Linked DNA regions of Saccharomyces cerevisiae S288C. The gene in region 1 interacts genetically with each later gene. Each region holds a gene or a part of one and is shown in the gene's direction. Other genes may lie near its edges. The genes, in order: GCN1, LAT1, RTG3 and GCN20.

Evidence for each region.
Region 2: mutations in GCN1 (region 1) and LAT1 together harm fitness more than expected from each alone (negative genetic interaction), as found in Saccharomyces cerevisiae (3 studies listed by BioGRID).
Region 3: mutations in GCN1 (region 1) and RTG3 together harm fitness more than expected from each alone (negative genetic interaction), as found in Saccharomyces cerevisiae (3 studies listed by BioGRID).
Region 4: mutations in GCN1 (region 1) and GCN20 together harm fitness less than expected from each alone (positive genetic interaction), as found in Saccharomyces cerevisiae (3 studies listed by BioGRID, with this or other methods).

The regions. Positions count from the first base shown.
Region 1 is NC_001139.9:129,112-135,270, forward strand, and holds the start of GCN1 (Gcn1p), read left to right. Parts: upstream 1-2,413; coding exon 2,414-6,159. Other genes in the region: MDS3 (Mds3p), read left to right, coding at 1-50; D-serine ammonia-lyase DSD1, read left to right, coding at 772-2,058. UniProt on the Saccharomyces cerevisiae protein: Ribosome collision sensor that activates a translation quality control pathway when a ribosome has stalled during translation. Directly binds to the ribosome and acts as a sentinel for colliding ribosomes.
Region 2 is NC_001146.8:489,733-493,471, forward strand, and holds LAT1 (dihydrolipoyllysine-residue acetyltransferase), read left to right. Parts: upstream 1-1,790; coding exon 1,791-3,239; downstream 3,240-3,739. Other genes in the region: lysine--tRNA ligase MSK1, read left to right, coding at 1-384; ribonuclease H2 catalytic subunit RNH201, read left to right, coding at 585-1,508; TOM7 (Tom7p), read left to right, coding at 3,634-3,739. UniProt on the Saccharomyces cerevisiae protein: The pyruvate dehydrogenase complex catalyzes the overall conversion of pyruvate to acetyl-CoA and CO(2).
Region 3 is NC_001134.8:20,795-25,769, reverse strand, and holds RTG3 (Rtg3p), read left to right. Parts: upstream 1-2,233; coding exon 2,234-3,694; downstream 3,695-4,975. Other genes in the region: ECM21 (Ecm21p), read left to right, coding at 1-824; SFT2 (Sft2p), read right to left, coding at 1,025-1,672; SEA4 (Sea4p), read left to right, coding at 4,477-4,975. UniProt on the Saccharomyces cerevisiae protein: Transcription factor that regulates CIT2 gene expression. Binds to two identical sites oriented as inverted repeats 28 bp apart in a regulatory upstream activation sequence element (UASR) in the CIT2 promoter. The core binding site is 5'-GGTCAC-3'.
Region 4 is NC_001138.5:159,573-165,246, forward strand, and holds GCN20 (putative AAA family ATPase GCN20), read left to right. Parts: upstream 1-2,915; coding exon 2,916-5,174; downstream 5,175-5,674. Other genes in the region: YFH7 (Yfh7p), read left to right, coding at 1-788; FAR7 (Far7p), read left to right, coding at 963-1,628; ubiquitin-specific protease UBP6, read left to right, coding at 5,495-5,674. UniProt on the Saccharomyces cerevisiae protein: Acts as a positive activator of the GCN2 protein kinase activity in response to in response to low amino acid, carbon, or purine availability.

The DNA.
Region 1 (6,159 bases):
CTATGGAAGATATTTCGAAATTGAAAGGCATCTCTAAACCGTCACCATAGACCGCTACGTCCCAGGATAGTTACTCGCACATATAAAGTTCTTAATAATCCAAGAATATGCTGCTATACATCTCAAAACGGATTGCTTCCATATGGGCGCCACTTTTCTGTTTCTTTGCTATCAAAACAGTTGGCACCAAAAAGCTACTCATTGCAAAGGTTTATTGCTTATGAAATATTGCTTTGTGAACAGATTCAACCGAAATTACCCGGTGAATATGACTATGTAAGTTATTAGTATAGGTTGCATTTGCTGTATTCGTTGATAAGACAACATCTTGTATCATACTAGTTTCCGCACACTAGTATTTCGTCTACTATTGACTTTCTGATAAGGTTATCTGGTTCCTGTATTTGCAGTTTATCGAAGCGGGCAGACCAGGTCAGCTCAGGACAATTCAAATTCAGATAATGAGGCACAGACTAATCATAACACGAAAATTGAATACATCCCACGATATAGCATAACCAAATGTCGGAACATAACTAGCAATACAATTTTTACATCGGGCCGAATCCGTCGGAGAGTGATAAGACGGAGTTAAAATATCTCTCAAAACCATGGAACAACAATATGTGTACATATATAAAGCTTTTGAGTGAAAAGATTTCTTTCCACTATTTACTGTCAATTTTATTCAACACGAAAGGGAATTAAGTGCACATAAATACTTCATTTCTTGATAAGGAAGTATAATATTGCTCCTAAGAAGAGTTTGAAATGAGCGATGTTCTATCTCAATATAAAGGGTGCTCAGTCAGAGATTTACCCACACCCAATTTCGTTATTAATGAAGAAAAATTTGATAAGAATTGTACGACAATGTTGAACAACGTTGAAAAGCTCAGCCAGGAATGTGGCGTACCAATCAAATTTCGTGCACACGTAAAAACGCATAAGACAGCAAAGGGAACTTTGAAACAATTGGGCCACGGACTTCCATTGGCTAAACGCACTACAAGAGCCATATTAGTATCAACTTTGAAAGAAGCAGAAGAACTTCTTAATTATCAAGATAGACAATGTTCGGATTATATTGACGATATAACATATAGTTTACCCTGTTGCGTTCCAGAGTTTATTCCTCTTTTGAGCAATTTGTCAAGAAGGGTGAATAATTTTCAGGTTTTTGTTGATAACATTGAACACTTGGAGAATTTAAAGAATTTCGGTAGGCCTGCTTCCGGCAAGAAATGGTCGGTTTTTATCAAGGTTGATATGGGGACTAAGAGGGCAGGTCTTGCTTTCGACTCTCCAGAATTTTTGAGTCTTTTAAAAAAACTGACTTCCTCAGAAATTAAAGAAGTAATTGAGCCATATGGGTTTTATGCTCATGCCGGACACAGCTACTCTTCAACCTCGATCAACGACACTCAGAATCTTTTGATGGAAGAAGTGAAAGCAGTCAATTCTGCCGCTAAAGTTTTGTGCTCTGTGGATCCTCAGTTTGATCCTTCTAAATTAACACTTTCTGTGGGCGCTACTCCGACTTCCAATTCTTTGAAACTCGATAATAAAAGTACCCTTGTTAAATTCATTACTACTCAATTAGTTAGTACGCTTGAAATCCACTGCGGTAATTACTGCATGTATGACCTGCAACAGGTGGCAACAGGCTGTGTCCAAGATCACGAATTGTCTGGTTTTGTATTAGGAACAGTACTATCATCTTACCCTTCTAGAGGTGAATTGTTGAGTAATACAGGTGTAATGTGTCTAACGCGAGAAGCATCCTCAATAAAAGGGTTTGGAATATGTGCTGATTTGGAACATGTGTTAAAATCCGAGAGTTTCAGTAGGGAATGGTATGTAGCAAGGGTCTCTCAAGAACACGGGATACTGAGGCCAATAAGAAACTGGAACGAAACTACTCCATTAAAATTAGGCAGCAAAATTGCCGTCCTTCCTCAACACGCTTGTATCACAATGGGACAATTTCCATATTATTTCGTGGTAAACAGCGAAGGCATTGTCAACGATGTTTGGTTACCTTTTCAGAAATGGTAAGCTCTCTTTTGTCGTTGGTTATCACTCTCATCAAAGCATCTCTGTGTCTATGTAATTGTGTATCTATTTATAAATAGTAACTAAGAGTAAGGTTGTACACAGGTTGGTCTAAACACCCTCTTGTTAAGCTTCCGCATTACCTGCGAGCTGGTAATTGTAATACAGATTTATTTGTTGATATAATGCTATGAAATTTCAACTACCGTCATTGAGCTTCTCAATAAAGTCGTTACGTACGAATGAAAAATTTGAATAATTTAAACCTTCGAAAAGATCTTTGAGTTGTACTTATTAAACCTGAAGTAGATCATTAAGACAAACAAAGCTCTGACTGACACCAATAACTCCTACAGTGATGACAGCTATCTTAAACTGGGAAGATATATCCCCTGTTTTAGAGAAAGGCACCCGCGAATCACACGTGTCTAAAAGAGTTCCCTTTTTGCAAGATATATCACAATTAGTTCGTCAAGAAACATTGGAAAAACCTCAATTATCTGAAATTGCTTTCGTTTTATTGAATACCTTCACGATTTACGAAGACAATAGGTCTAAAAGTTTGGTAACTTCAATATTGCTTGACATCTTAAATCTAGAGCCATGTCTCCTAGAAAACTTTATCCGATTCATTTCCGACGTGGTCATCAGTAATCCGGCTACCAAAGCAGTCGCTGATTACCTTAATTTGTTAGATTGGATTAATTCTTTCTTGATTTTTGTGTCGCATAATTCTAATTTATTTGAAGAGTACATTCCAAAATTGTTGGTCGCCCATTCTTATGCAACGTTCGGTGTGGAAACTATTCTTGACAATCAAGAAGAAGGCAAGAAATCCCAAGATAAGCAGAACCAGCATAGAAAGAGAATTCGTTATTGCATTTTCCAAACAACGGTCAAAGCATTCCTTAAGTGCTTGAAGGATAATGACGACAGTATTTCCTTCATGAAGATTTCAATTAAAACTGTACTGGAGAGCTACTCTAAGCTGAAGATAACCAGTGTTGGAGTAGTTATGATAATGGGTGCACTAACTCAGGCTGCACTTCAGTTATTATCGAGGCAACCAGCTCTGCACTCCGTTTTAAAGGAAAATTCTGCAGAGAAATATTGCGAATATTTGGGCAAAGAAGTGTTTTTAGGCAAAAACCCACCATCTTCCTTTTGCTTAGAGATTGGTTTGAAGCCATTTTTAAAAGAATTTGTTTCACAAGAGTTATTCATTAAGTTTTTCATCCCTAATATTGAAAAAGCAGTTTTAAGATCTCCTGAGGTTGGTTTTTCGATTTTATCTGAGTTATATGCTGGTGTTTCTCCTGAAAAAGTAAATCTCTTAAATGCCTTTGCTTCCTCGAAACTGATTAATCAATACTTCTCGTCATTTAAAAGCTCAAAAGAGGTAGTTAGATCCGTCTCGCTTCAGTCTATGATAATCTTATTGAGAAAAATTTCCAATACTGACACTACCTTGGAAGATTTGACCAAGCTTATTGACGAAATATTTAAGAACATCAAATCGAACTTAAATGCAGATTACAAATCACTTATTTCCAAAATTCTCATAGAAATACCCTTAACGCACTATGAGGTTTCAGAAAAAATCTGCAAAGGGCTGTCCCCATATATTGGTAAAGAAGGTAATGAAGCAGCCTTGACTCTAATGCTTAACGCTTTTTTTGTTCATTATTTTAGTCTGGGCAAACCTATTGAAGACTTGGATAAAATTATATCAGCTGGTTTTGCAGATAAAAAACCTGCTTTGAAAAAATGCTGGTTTGCCGCATTTTTGAACAATTCCAATGCTGCCTCTGAAGAGGTGATTTTAAACTTTATAGACGGTTGTTTGGAATTTGTGAAAGACTCCATCATACATTATCAGACTCACGGGCATGCATGTATTCTAGCATCAATTGAATTTACAAACAAAATTTTGGCATTGGACAATACTGAGCTAAATGATCGTGTTATGCAGCTCATAGAAACCCTTCCTGAAAATTCTTCGATAGGTGATGCTATCTTAACTGCTGCATTATCAACAGAGCTATCCATCGAAAACCGTATTCATGCTGTTAATTTACTACAAGAATTGTTCTACAAGAAACCCGAATTTATTGGGTTTAGCGTGATTGATGCAATTGAAAGGAGAATGCGTGTCCAAGAATTAATACCTCAACAAAATACATCCTTTAAATATGTCACTTCTGTACTACTGGCCATTACGTCTGAGTTACCTGACAAGGAAGCCTCGATAAAGGTATTAATCAATGCTCTGGTCATAGCGCAATGGAATATTTTCAACATTAAGAATGGCTGGGCTGGTTTAGTTTTACGTGCAAGGCTTGATCCAGCTGAAGTTGTCAAAGAACATGCTAGCGTTATCATGGAGAAGATTCTTGAAATCACAGGTAGTTGTGAATGGATAGATACAATTTATGGTGCATGCGGTTTGCAAGCAGCTGCCTATGCAGCATTTATTCAGCCTAATGAGTTCACACCGATCCTTTGTAAGACTATCGAAGCAGATTTAACCGCGGATGATTTCTCACGTTTATCTGAAGAGGACTTCGAAATTTTTGCAGGAGAGGAAGGTGTTCTGGTGGTTGACGTCCTGGAAGAAAGCATGAATAAGAAACTTTCCAATAAAAATTCTAAAGAGTACGAAACTCTAATGTGGGAACAAAAAATAAGGAAGGAGCAAGCCAAAAAGAATGTGAAAAAACTTTCAAAAGAGGAACAAGAGCTCGTTAATGAACAGTTAGCGAAAGAATCTGCAGTTAGATCACACGTTTCGGAAATTTCCACTCGTTTAAAGCGTGGTATTAGATTGGTATCTGAACTTTCCAAAGCTGCTTGCTTAGTCCAAAATGGCATCGCTACTTGGTTCCCCTTGGCAGTCACAAAGCTTTTGTACCTATGCTCGGAACCAAATATTTCAAAGCTAACAGAGGATGTAAATAATGTGTTCTTGCAGCTTTCTCAAAATGTCTCCGAGAGATTAGGTAATATCAGACTTTTCTTAGGTTTGGCGACTTTGCGTGTGCACAATGCTAATGGCATCTCGCAAGATTATTTACAAGAACCACTGGTTGAATTACTTACAAGAGTTCTTTTTAGGATCAAGTTCGTCTCCAACCAAGCAGCAATAGATTCCATCAGTTTGACATATATTTTACCATTGTTGATTAATGTTTTAGAAAAGGGTAAGGCGATTGCATTAAAGAATGCGGACAAGCCTGTTGTTAAGGCTGAGTTTGTTGAAGAAGATGAAGAAGAAGAACATCTGTTACTGGCCATGGAAATTATTTCTGTACACGCTGAAGCTTTTGAGGATCCTTCCATTCCGAGAATTTCCATTGTTGAAGTGTTACTATCTCTTCTATCTTTACCCTCAAAAGCGAAGATTGCTAAAGATTGTTTCAACGCTCTGTGCCAAAGCATATCTGTTGCACCAAATCAAGAAGACCTTGATATGATACTATCAAATTTACTATCACCAAATCAATTTGTCCGTTCAACAATATTAGAAACTCTTGATAACGAATTCGAATTAGAACCTTTTATGAAATATTCACCTGAAGTTTTCATTTGCAGATTTGATTCGGATCCTTCCAACCGCGAGATTGCAGATTTCATTTGGGAGTTCAACAAATTTGTAGTCAACGATGAATTACTAAAAAGCTTATTCCCACTATTCAATCAGGATGATAGTGGCTTGAGATTATTTGCGGCAAACGCGTACGCATTTGGTGCGGTAAGTCTGTTTACCTCTGAAGAGAACTCCTCGAAAGATTACTTAAATGATTTGCTGAACTTTTATAAAGAAAAGGCAAAGCCATTGGAGCCAATTCTTGATCAATTTGGCTTGGTTCTTGTTTCTGCGAGTGAACAAAAAGATCCATGGCAAGGAAGAAGTACCGTTGCTATTACATTAAAAATCATGGCTAAGGCTTTTTCTGCAGAGGATGATACTGTCGTTAACATTATAAAATTTTTGGTCGATGATGGAGGTCTAGTAGACAGAGAGCCTATTGTTCGTCAAGAAATGAAAGAAGCTGGTGTTGAATTAATTACGTTACATGGCTCACAAAACTCGAAGGATTTAAT
Region 2 (3,739 bases), on another chromosome or scaffold:
ACCTTGCCTACGGTAATATACCATCAACCTGCAATATTATCGCCCTTAGCCAAGACGGATCCGCAAAATAAGCAAGTCACGAAGAGATTCGAAGTCTTCATCAAAGGTAAGGAATACATCAATGCTTACGAAGAGGAAAATTGCCCCCAATTACAACTGCAGAAGTTTCTACAACAAAAGCAGATTAACGAATTGACAGGAAACAAAACTGAGACCTTATCGCCTGTTATTGACTACCAGTATGTTGAGACGATGAAATACGGTATGCCTCCAGTAGGTGGCTTTGGCCTTGGCATAGATAGATTGTGCATGCTATTTTGCGACAAGAAGAGGATAGAAGAGGTTCTGCCCTTTGGCTGTGTGGATGATGTAAACAGGCAGTAAATTTTGCGACGCCTGCCAATGCTTTTGTAAATAAATCAGACATATACTGTAAATAATTAGAATGGCATTTAATTTTTTTTTTTTCTCTACACCAATAAACTACGCTACGCGAAAAATCCAATATAAATATTCAGTTATAGCTAATGAGAGTGTCGAAAAACCTTGAAAACAACTACTGCACACCAAATTGATACGATTAAATGGTACCCCCCACGGTAGAAGCATCCTTGGAGTCTCCTTACACTAAGTCGTACTTTTCACCTGTCCCAAGCGCGCTCTTGGAACAGAATGACTCTCCAATAATAATGGGTATCGATGAAGCTGGCAGAGGGCCCGTATTAGGGCCAATGGTCTACGCAGTAGCCTATTCTACACAGAAATATCAGGACGAAACTATAATCCCTAACTACGAGTTTGACGACTCTAAAAAACTTACAGATCCCATCAGAAGAATGCTGTTTTCCAAGATATACCAGGACAACGAAGAACTAACCCAGATCGGCTACGCAACTACGTGCATCACTCCGTTGGATATCTCTAGAGGAATGAGCAAGTTCCCACCGACGAGAAACTATAACTTGAATGAGCAGGCGCACGATGTCACAATGGCACTCATTGATGGCGTGATAAAGCAGAACGTGAAGCTCAGTCACGTGTATGTGGATACTGTTGGACCACCAGCGTCCTATCAGAAGAAACTGGAGCAACGATTTCCTGGTGTCAAGTTTACGGTCGCCAAGAAGGCAGACTCGCTCTACTGCATGGTCAGTGTGGCGAGTGTCGTTGCAAAAGTGACCAGAGATATACTAGTCGAATCCTTGAAGAGGGATCCCGATGAGATCCTGGGTTCTGGATACCCCTCCGACCCGAAGACAGTCGCATGGCTGAAGCGCAACCAGACAAGTCTTATGGGCTGGCCCGCCAACATGGTAAGATTCTCATGGCAGACATGCCAGACTCTGTTAGATGACGCCAGTAAGAATAGTATCCCTATCAAGTGGGAAGAACAATATATGGACAGCAGGAAGAACGCCGCACAAAAAACCAAGCAATTGCAGCTCCAGATGGTCGCTAAGCCTGTTAGAAGGAAGAGGCTGAGAACCCTAGATAATTGGTACCGGTGATCACCTCCAGTTTGCACATACTATATATCTTCATGTAATACTACATATGTCATAACTTCAATAACTCATACAAGTCATCTGCTACTATGCTTTGCCGTTTCTACTATCCGTGAAGCGTGACCGGCCCTTCTCACCCCCCGTGTTACGCAAAGAACAACAAGAGGTCGAGACAACCAACCGGAACGACTAGAAGAGAGGCTGTTACGTTTCCTGTTTGTTCACGCTCAACATCTTCCATTGCTGTAAACTGCATCCAGTAAAATTAATAGTTATTAGCGTACTATGTCTGCCTTTGTCAGGGTGGTTCCAAGAATATCCAGAAGTTCAGTACTCACCAGATCATTGAGACTGCAATTGAGATGCTACGCATCGTACCCAGAGCACACCATTATTGGTATGCCGGCACTGTCTCCTACGATGACGCAAGGTAATCTTGCTGCTTGGACTAAGAAGGAAGGTGACCAATTGTCTCCCGGTGAAGTTATTGCCGAAATAGAAACAGACAAGGCTCAAATGGACTTTGAGTTCCAAGAAGATGGTTACTTAGCCAAGATTCTAGTTCCTGAAGGTACAAAGGACATTCCTGTCAACAAGCCTATTGCCGTCTATGTGGAGGACAAAGCTGATGTGCCAGCTTTTAAGGACTTTAAGCTGGAGGATTCAGGTTCTGATTCAAAGACCAGTACGAAGGCTCAGCCTGCCGAACCACAGGCAGAAAAGAAACAAGAAGCGCCAGCTGAAGAGACCAAGACTTCTGCACCTGAAGCTAAGAAATCTGACGTTGCTGCTCCTCAAGGTAGGATTTTTGCCTCTCCACTTGCCAAGACTATCGCCTTGGAAAAGGGTATTTCTTTGAAGGATGTTCACGGCACTGGACCCCGCGGTAGAATTACCAAGGCTGACATTGAGTCATATCTAGAAAAGTCGTCTAAGCAGTCTTCTCAAACCAGTGGTGCTGCCGCCGCCACTCCTGCCGCCGCTACCTCAAGCACTACTGCTGGCTCTGCTCCATCGCCTTCTTCTACAGCATCATATGAGGATGTTCCAATTTCAACCATGAGAAGCATCATTGGAGAACGTTTATTGCAATCTACTCAAGGCATTCCATCATACATCGTTTCCTCCAAGATATCCATCTCCAAACTTTTGAAATTGAGACAGTCCTTGAACGCTACAGCAAACGACAAGTACAAACTGTCCATTAATGACCTATTAGTAAAAGCCATCACTGTTGCGGCTAAGAGGGTGCCAGATGCCAATGCCTACTGGTTACCTAATGAGAACGTTATCCGTAAATTCAAGAATGTCGATGTCTCAGTCGCTGTTGCCACACCAACAGGATTATTGACACCAATTGTCAAGAATTGTGAGGCCAAGGGCTTGTCGCAAATCTCTAACGAAATCAAGGAACTAGTCAAGCGTGCCAGAATAAACAAATTGGCACCAGAGGAATTCCAAGGTGGGACCATTTGCATATCCAATATGGGCATGAATAATGCTGTTAACATGTTTACTTCGATTATCAACCCACCACAGTCTACAATCTTGGCCATCGCTACTGTTGAAAGGGTCGCTGTGGAAGACGCCGCTGCTGAGAACGGATTCTCCTTTGATAACCAGGTTACCATAACAGGGACCTTTGATCATAGAACCATTGATGGCGCCAAAGGTGCAGAATTCATGAAGGAATTGAAAACTGTTATTGAAAATCCTTTGGAAATGCTATTGTGAGGTTAGAATGAAAATAAAATTCGCCAGTAAATGCGTATCTTGGAGAAAATATCAATTTGTTATTTTGTATATATAAAAAATTAAAAAAAAAAAAAAAAAAATACTCAAATACTCAAATACGTATACATTATACTGAAATACTTCGCTTGTCTTCGAATCTAAATCCTCTCTCTCTTCTGTCTCAAAATGATATAAATAAATCACGTCAAACGGTGCGTCAACATCTTTGTTTTTTCACCTCATGTGGAATTGGTTGAAATTAACAAAGGAGTGGGATATAGGATATAACGCATAAAGTTTAGCATACTACTTTCGTATATTATTGTTCGGTGAAAGAAACTAGTTCCCTCTTATCTCTCAATATTTGCCAAAATTAGCTTTTAACAAATAAACCATGAGTTTCCTACCATCTTTTATCTTAAGCGATGAATCTAAAGAACGTATTTCCAAAATTTTAACTTTGACTCATAATGTAGCACATTATGGCTGGATCCCATTTG
Region 3 (4,975 bases), on another chromosome or scaffold:
AAATTATGCTACGAATCAGTAAACCTGATCCTGAGTGTCCGTCCAAATTAAGACATTATGAGGTTCTAATCGATACGCCCATATTCCTGGTGTCTGAACAGTGCAACAGTGGTAATATGGAGTTACCCACTTATGATATGGCCACAATGGAAGGCAAAGGCAACCAGGTTCCTCTAAGTATGAACAGCGACTTTTTTGGTAACACATGTCCACCTCCGCCAACTTTTGAAGAAGCCATATCCGTTCCAGCTTCTCCCATTGTCTCACCGATGGGATCACCTAATATCATGGCCTCGTATGACCCTGATTTACTATCTATTCAACAATTGAACTTATCAAGAACTACGTCAGTTAGTGGGCCATCCGGATACAGCGATGATGCCGGTGTGCCAAATGTTAATCGGAACAGTATTTCAAATGCCAATGCCATGAACGGCAGTATTTCGAATTCCGCATTTGTTTCGGGCAATAGTGGCCAAGGTGTTGCTAGAGCAAGAGCAACGTCAGTGAATGACAGGTCAAGATTCAATAATCTCGATAAATTATTGAGCACTCCATCGCCCGTCAATAGATCTCACAATTCATCACCAACAAATGGCTTATCACAAGCAAATGGTACTGTGAGGATTCCAAACGCTACCACTGAAAACTCTAAGGACAAACAGAACGAATTTTTCAAAAAGGGTTACACTTTAGCGAATGTAAAAGATGATGAAGAACAAGAAGGAATAGTAAGTTCGAGCTCCGCAGATTCGCTACTCTCTCATGGTAACGAGCCTCCGCGTTATGACGAAATAGTGCCTTTGATGAGTGATGAAGAATGAATTTTTTCGTTTTTTATTTTTTTTTGAATTATTCTACGATAATTATATATATAGAGCCACTGCATGTTTTACTCCCTTTTTGTTGACTACATGCTATTTAATTAGGTTAGGTTATAAATCTCTTTATTATTGTTTCTTATAACATAAACATTATTTTTCTTCTTCAACTAATCAATTCAATATGCACTATGAATGATAATTCAGATGCGCAGAACACCTCTTGCCGAATTGACACCAGCAGAGCTTAACATCCTCAAACCTGTTGCACCGAATGGGAAATATGAAATAGCATAATAAATGACGGCAACTAATTCAAGAAGAGCACATGTAATAGTCAGCACCGTGTTCTTGGAAAAGGCTGCGAAATAAATCGTCATGAAGCATGTGGCGAAAAAGAACATCGAAAAAGGCAGCCTTTCCCTTGCAGTCAAATGTTTTAAGTACGCGAGTGGTCCCATAAGTACCCCAAACGCAAGAACAAATAGTAGGGACCCCATTGTCCATAGTAAACCAAACTTTCTTGGTTTAGCGGCTAGAACGGGGAAAAGGAAAGTACAAAGAGTGAAACAGGCTGTTGCACCCAAAAGAAAACAGACAAAAAGTACCATTCTTTCCGTTCTTGACAATTGGAACCACGACGGCTCCTGGTCTTGCACCAAGTCCTGTCTAGATACAGGCAACGTCTGATATATATCCTGGGCCCTGGTATTGAGAGAATCCGCCCAGCTTGAGAACAATGTCTTCGCAGATTCATTAAAACCCTGCGAGTTCTGCTGTCTTGTTTGATTCCATCGATTCAATGAGTCACGGAGACTATTGACCTGGTCAGAAGGTGGTTCCTCGCTCATATTCTCCACACTTGTTCTTTTTTTTTACCAGCAAAAAAAAAAAACGCAACTGCAGACAATACAGGTAATCTAAGTCCTACTCTAAACTACCGAACGCAATTAGAATGCAAATTTATTCAATCTTCTTCCTATTTCAGTATAGTACAAGTCTTGACCAATACTCCCTCTTCATTACAATCGCCTTTTGCCGGGTCACGATTGCGGGCCGTTCCGCGGGATGTGACTCTTCGCAAGTTACTTTTGAAATAATAAAGCCATGGTGATTAGAAAAGCCTTCTTATGAGCAACAGAAACTAACAATTGTACTACTCGGTCCGGACAGTAGGATCTCCAATATTACTGCAGGTTAGTACATTATTTTTTACTCGCAGTTGCTATTTTGGCTAGAGGCTGCACGGAATCATCAAGGAATTTTTCACAATCCGAATTTCTGTCTTACGTGAGCATATATAAGATAACAAAAACGACATTACTGCATTCACATTACTTAGTTGACAAGTATCCTTTAATAGAATACTCTTATTTTTTGTCAGGCGAACCTACTTCTTAAATAAGTGAAGAATGATGAACAATAACGAAAGTGAGGCTGAGAACCAACGTCTACTGGACGAATTAATGAACCAGACAAAAGTCCTCCAGGAAACTTTAGATTTTTCGTTAGTGACACCCACTCCACACCACAATGATGATTACAAGATACACGGAAGTGCCTACCCAGGTGGTGAGACTCCTGCCCAACAGCATGAAAAACTCTCATACATCAATACGCACAACTCTAACGATAATAATAACTTAATGGGCAGTCAAGCGAGGTCCAATTCACAAACTCCTACAGCTTCGACCATATATGAGGAAGCAGAATCGCAATCGTCTTACCTGGATGATATGTTTAGAACAAGCCAAGGCGGTAGACCTGTCACTCAAAATTCCATATCTTCCATAGGGCAGGGTCCCTTGAGATCATCTTATTCTATGGCTTACGACTCACCTGTGGATAGAGCAATGAATACTCCATTACAGCAACAAGAAGGCTTAAAAGCTGAGTTACCACATGACTTTTTATTTCAGCATGGCACCGATGACACAATGTATAACTTAACTGATGATTTGAGCTCCTCTTTATCTTCTAGCATCAATTCTGATATGATGACACCAAACACATATTCATCATCATTTTCTTATAATCCACAAAGCTTGGGCCCAGCATCCGTATCTTCCACATATTCCCCAAAGGTAAGATCACCATCATCGTCATTTCGTGCAGGAAGTTTCCTTTCATCTTCTTTTAGGCATGGTAGCATAAACACACCCAGAACAAGACACACTTCAATAAGTAGCAATATGACTGAAAATATAGGACCTGGAAGTGTTCCAAAGATTTTAGGCGGGTTAACTTCTGATGAGAAACTGAGGCGCAAAAGAGAGTTTCATAATGCCGTCGAAAGGAGAAGAAGAGAATTAATAAAGCAAAAGATAAAAGAACTCGGCCAGTTGGTTCCACCATCTTTATTGAATTACGATGACCTAGGTAAACAAATCAAACCAAATAAGGGTATCATTTTGGATAGAACGGTCGAATATTTACAATACCTGGCCGAAATTTTAGAAATACAAGCACGAAAAAAGAAGGCGTTATTGGCGAAGATAAAAGAATTGGAAGAGAAGAAAAGTTCTGTCGCAGCATTATCTCCTTTTACCAATAACCACCATGCCAGTTCGGGGCAAAATAATAGCGAGAATAGTGAGGAAAGAATTATAGATATTAGATCTGTCCCAAATGCTTTGATGAATGAACAAAATAGTAAGGCTGAATTGCACAATTGGGAGCCACCGTTATATGATTCGGTCGGTAACCACAATCATGCTGGCACTATGGAGAGTCATCCACATACAAACATTCATGAAGAATTAAAGGAGTTCTTATCAGGCGATTTGATTGAAGCCGAAGATAATGCAAAATTAATGTTTGGAGATGACAACTCTAATCCAGCTGACTATCTTTTAGAATTTGGTTCGGGGTAGTTTATGGTCTTATTAGCGGGAAAAAATTAAATTTGAAAAAGGTCAGGTAAGCAAAAGCAGTAAAACTTCAATATCTATGTTTGTTCCTTCTATTGGGAGAACGTTAATCGCTTCCGTACTCGCAAGATAATGTAATGAAAAAATTAGGAATTGCAACAAAATAAAGCGGAATATTAGTAACGCTTACATGCAACGTTTTGAAAAGAGTGGAAGAGATAGGCAAGCAGAATTATATGTAACAAAATCTAAAATTATTCACTATTATTCTTGGTTATGTCTAATACTTTGGATATATTAATTCTTTAGAATTTTATGTATTCTAAATGCAATTATGTCAATAAAACCCATGTAATTTTCTTTCATGATATGATTTAAATGCATTAGTATTATCAGGCATATTGTTATATATGAAGAAGGTTAGTTATAAGTAGTGTATAATATATACATGTGCTGCCCGCAATTGGGTATGATATGATTTTTAGTGCTTTATAATTTGGCGTCGCAAGAATGTAGATCACTTGTATCAATGGAAAGCTTACTTGGGTAACTCATTTATTGAGAAAATCAATGGATGTCGAATTTATATAGAGTAGAGCCAACACTTCATGATTGGAAAGCATATACCAAACGGTATACCACTGATAATATGAATGCAGAAGACTAATGCGCTACACATCATACTTTACGGCGATGATATATTTCAAGATAGCATAAGCTCTATGGTTATTCTGATGTTACTGGTAGTCGTAAGTGCAGTATCACGAACGTATAGAAGAATAAACATGGGTCTCATCAAAAAAGTGACCCATTGGTCATATGATAATTTGATTGATTATCTTTCAGTGAACCCTACAAGAGATGAAGTGACCCACTATAAAGTGGATCCGGAAAATGAATCTGATGAATCAATTATTAAATTACACACTGTGAAAGACTTCGGCAGTATCACCTGCTTAGACTATTCAGAATCAGAAATTGGTATGATTGGAGTTGGTGAAAAGAATGGATATTTAAGGATTTTTAATATCTCTGGACAAAATTCCTCATCGCCAGCGAGCCATGCGCCAGTGGGCTTAAATGCCAATAACGAGACTTCTATGACAAATGCCAGCGGTGGTAAGGCAGCTCAGGCGGAAAATATAGTTGGATCTGTCTCAAATTTAAAGGATACCCAAGGGTACCCTGTTTCAGAAACCAATTATGATATACGTGTACGAGCAAAGAAGCAGCGGTGTATAAACTCTCTGGGAATAAATACGAATGGTCTTATAGCAATGGGTC
Region 4 (5,674 bases), on another chromosome or scaffold:
AAAATCAGGGGCTGTTTAAAGATCATGTTGAGGATGTTAATTTTCAACCAGTCAAGTACTCAGCCCTTACATCAAATAATGAAGAATGTACCGCAGTAGTTGCCAGAGGTGGTACTGCGAATGCCATAAGAATCGCAGCAGTTGATAATCCAGTCAATGTTAACAAGTTGGCCCAGGATAGTATCAATATAGCGCAAATAGTCCCAATGGATGGTTTTCACTTATCTCGCAGATGTCTAGACCTATTCAAAGACCCACAAACTGCCCATAAAAGAAGAGGTTCGCCCTCAACGTTTGACAGTAACAATTTCTTACAATTGTGTAAAATTCTAGCCAAGACGTCCCTATGTAAGGTCTCCTCACATCATAAATTTTACTCCACTTCAAGCGTTTTTGAGAAGTTATCCAAAACTTTTAGCCAAACAATTCCTGATATCTTTGTTCCAGGATTTAACCATGCACTAAAAGACCCAACTCCAGATCAGTACTGTATTTCCAAATTTACAAGGATAGTTATACTTGAAGGGTTATACCTACTGTATGACCAAGAAAACTGGAAGAAAATTTACAAAACATTAGCTGATACGGGAGCACTTCTTGTTTATAAGATTGACATAGACTATGAGGCCACCGAAGAAAGGGTGGCCAAAAGGCATTTGCAATCAGGGTTAGTCACGACTATTGCAGAAGGACGAGAGAAGTTTCGCAGCAATGATTTGTTGAATGGCAGGGATATAGATAATCATTTAATTAAGGTAGATAATATCGTCCATATCCGCAACGACTAGAAGGTTAGGCGGAACCTTGTATATATTTTTGTAAAATCGAACTGAATACAGATAATTAAGGCGCGCAAGCAAAAACGGCATTCTTTATGAACTCTGCAGAGGTGCCCTTTATTACGACATATATGGGAAGTAATACATATTGATTCTACAAGAAGTTCAAGCCAAGGTTTAGATATGAGTGACCAAATCAACGTTTTGTCAATGCAACAACAACAACAGCAGCAGCAGCAGCAGCAGCAAGTATATATGTCTCCTCAAGCAGAAAACTTGAATCATATGTACTTGTTAGTTAACAAGCTAGTGAAACAGTTGAGGGAAAATCAAGCAGAAAAGGCGAAAATACTAAGGAACATAGACATATTATCCGGAAGCTTAAACAAGTATGAGACATCTGAAGAACCTCACGATACCACGGAAAATATTGCATTATTTAATAGATTTCTAGAACAAAGAGGGAAAGCTCCTATTACTGAGAAAGAGCAACTAAGCAACAATCTGGATGAAAATGCGAAAGATGACGTTATGCTAGGAGTGTTGAAGCGCCAAAATTCAATGCTCCGGAAAAGTTTACAGGAATCCAAGCAGGTAACCCTTGAATCCATGGATTTATTGTCTTACTCCGAAGACTCTTTAAATTACATTGTCGCCCAATTAAGAGGAAACATTCTAATGCATCATAAAGAGACTATCAAATTGATTAGGCAGAAATTCCAGACGGAGACAATTCCCCTCGAAGATGAAGAGTTCAAGATGTATTTGGAAAATGTTAATGGTCTGCAAAAATTGACAGATATATCTCACACTTATAGATTACTACTGAGGTTACATGCACAAGATTGAAACTTTGCCCTTTTGCTTCCAATGAAAGCAAGATGACAAATATACATGCTTCTTATATTCGAGATTGCGCAAAAATTCGAAGCTCATTTATGAAGGCTTTTTCCATTCTGATATATGTTTATGAAATTGAAAAAGTAACGACGGTGGAACATTTTGCGGGAAAACAACTCACAGAATGTCTTGACGTTCTTTTCCTGCAGTTGCGTGCGTAAGATATCCTAAGCTACTGTATTATTTGCCAAAAATAATAAAATGTTGGAGGAAAGCCTCTATAAATACACAGGATATATATGTTTAATAAACATATATAATTTCCTCAATATTTGCAAAAGCATTTTGTTGTGATGAGAGTCGATTATCGTTTACCGATTAGTATCTATACTATTAATATATTTTCATATAATTAGTATAATCTCATATACGCTGCCAGAAGATAACATGAAAATTAAGAAACAATCATCAGCTTCAATGGAAGTTGAAGTGCAAGGATAAATAATACTATTTAGAAATATGGATTTTCCCTCGTTGACTAGAAGATCTGTGAAGATTGGGTGAATAGTTTAATAATTATTGGATCCCATTATTGATCAAGGCTATAATACTTGACTATTTGGCGAATTTTGAGATAATTGTTGGGATTCCATTGTTGATAAAGGCCATAATATTATGTATACAGGATATACTAGAAGTTCTCCTCGATGATATAGGAATCCTCGAAATGGAATCTATATTTCTACATACTAATATTACGATTATTCCTCATTCCGTTTTATATGTTTCATTATCCTATTGCATTATCAATCCTTGCACTTCAGCTTCCTCTAACTTCGATGACAGCTTCTCATAACTTATGTCATCATCTTTACACCGTATATGATAATATATTGATAATATAACTATTAGTTGATAGACGATAGTGGATTTTTATTCCAACACACTAATTATCATTCGTTACATCTCAAATTGGTTAGAGAAGTTACAAACATTATTATTGATTTATCCAAGGATAGTTTTCACAAGAAAACAAGCGCAAGTGGTTTAGTGGTAAAATCCAACGTTGCCATCGTTGGGCCCCCGGTTCGATTCCGGGCTTGCGCAGTTTCTTTTTTTTCTGATTTTTATTTTTTTGTTCCTGAAAATTTTTCGTATTATTAGATCTAGTAGAAAATGAAAGACATTTGAAAAGAGAAATATATATTCTGCAGTAAGCTAGCTAAGACTAGTCGTTTTGAAGCGCTAAAACGTTAACTTCGATTCATAGCACAAAAGGTAAATAACTTTTTTGAAATGGCAAGCATCGGTTCGCAAGTGAGAAAAGCTGCTTCTAGTATTGACCCTATCGTCACGGATTACGCAGTGGGCTACTTTAACCACTTGTCCGGAATAACTTTTGATGCTGTTCAAAGTAAGCAGGTAGATTTGTCCACTGAAGTGCAATTTGTGTCCGATTTATTGATTGATGCGGGTGCGTCAAAGGCTAAAGTTAAAGAACTATCGGAAAGTATTTTGAAGCAATTGACTACTCAACTAAAGGAGAACGAAGCCAAATTGGAATTGACCGGTGATACGTCCAAGAGATTACTTGATATTAATGTCTTAAAGAGTCATAACAGTAAATCCGATATCAACGTCTCATTAAGCATGCTGGGTGTGAACGGTGACATCGAACATACTGGTAGAAAGATGGAAACAAGAGTTGATTTGAAAAAACTGGCCAAGGCTGAACAAAAGATCGCAAAGAAAGTCGCCAAGAGAAATAACAAATTTGTTAAATACGAGGCTTCTAAATTGATCAATGACCAAAAGGAGGAGGATTACGATTCTTTCTTTTTGCAAATCAACCCTTTAGAATTCGGTTCATCCGCTGGTAAATCCAAGGATATCCATATTGACACTTTCGACTTGTACGTTGGTGACGGTCAAAGAATTTTGTCCAACGCCCAATTGACTCTAAGTTTTGGTCACAGATATGGTCTTGTGGGCCAAAATGGTATTGGTAAATCTACTTTGTTAAGGGCTCTATCTAGAAGAGAGCTGAACGTCCCCAAACATGTTTCGATTTTACACGTGGAACAAGAGTTAAGAGGTGATGATACAAAGGCTTTACAAAGTGTGCTGGATGCAGACGTTTGGAGAAAACAACTATTAAGTGAAGAAGCCAAGATCAATGAAAGATTAAAGGAAATGGATGTATTAAGACAGGAATTCGAAGAAGACAGTTTAGAAGTTAAAAAATTGGACAATGAAAGAGAAGACTTGGATAACCATTTGATACAGATTTCTGACAAATTAGTCGATATGGAATCTGACAAGGCTGAAGCTAGGGCAGCATCAATCTTATATGGTTTGGGGTTCAGTACGGAGGCACAGCAACAACCCACTAATTCCTTTTCCGGTGGTTGGAGAATGAGATTGTCCTTGGCAAGAGCCTTATTCTGTCAACCAGATCTTTTGTTGTTAGATGAACCTTCCAATATGTTGGATGTGCCATCCATCGCTTATTTAGCAGAGTATTTGAAAACATATCCAAATACAGTTTTGACAGTTTCTCACGACCGTGCATTCTTGAATGAAGTGGCTACAGATATCATTTATCAACACAACGAAAGACTAGACTATTACAGAGGCCAAGATTTCGATACCTTTTACACCACAAAGGAGGAACGTAGAAAGAATGCTCAACGTGAGTATGATAACCAAATGGTTTACAGAAAGCACTTGCAAGAGTTTATTGACAAATACAGATACAATGCTGCCAAATCACAGGAAGCTCAATCAAGAATTAAGAAATTGGAAAAATTGCCCGTTTTGGAGCCACCTGAACAAGACAAAACCATTGATTTCAAATTCCCTGAATGTGATAAATTGTCTCCACCAATTATCCAATTGCAAGACGTTTCCTTTGGTTATGATGAAAACAACCTATTATTGAAAGATGTTAACCTGGACGTTCAAATGGATTCCAGAATTGCCCTTGTAGGTGCCAATGGTTGTGGTAAGACTACACTGTTGAAGATTATGATGGAGCAGTTAAGACCACTAAAAGGCTTTGTATCAAGAAACCCAAGATTACGTATAGGCTACTTCACTCAACATCATGTGGATTCTATGGATTTGACCACGTCTGCAGTGGACTGGATGTCCAAATCCTTCCCAGGTAAAACTGATGAAGAGTATAGACGTCATCTAGGTTCATTTGGTATCACTGGTACCCTGGGTCTACAAAAGATGCAATTATTATCCGGTGGTCAAAAATCTCGTGTAGCATTCGCTGCATTGTGTTTAAATAATCCACACATTTTGGTTCTGGATGAACCTTCTAACCATTTGGATACCACTGGTCTAGACGCTTTGGTAGAAGCCTTGAAAAATTTCAACGGTGGTGTCTTAATGGTTTCCCATGATATCTCTGTTATTGACTCTGTTTGTAAAGAGATTTGGGTTTCAGAGCAAGGTACTGTCAAGAGGTTCGAAGGTACAATTTACGACTATAGAGATTACATCTTGCAGTCTGCTGATGCTGCAGGTGTGGTTAAAAAGCATTGATTATTTAGGAAGCACCTCAGAATATATTTTCCATAGAAGCCTAAATTAAGTATGCATTCATAGCCCCATGATACTTTTTTTTTTTGACTACTTGTATTGGAATCTAATTGACCTAACTGGGCATTCTGGGTCATTGGTATATGTATCACTTTTTACGTAAAAAAGTAGTGGCTAATATAAAACATAAAATCTACAAGAAGGGTGAAGTGCTTTTCGAATTTTGCCACTGCAAGTAATTGGTGCAATTGAAATACGAGATTTCGTTCTCTAAGAGGATATAAAAATAAGGAAATTAGCCCTACCTATCCTTGTGTTAAAATATGAGCGGAGAAACGTTTGAGTTCAATATTAGACATTCTGGTAAAGTTTACCCAATAACACTTTCCACTGATGCTACTTCAGCAGATTTGAAAAGCAAAGCAGAGGAATTGACCCAAGTCCCAAGTGCCCGCCAAAAATACATGGTTAAAGGTGGCTTGTCTGGCGAAGAGTCCATTAAA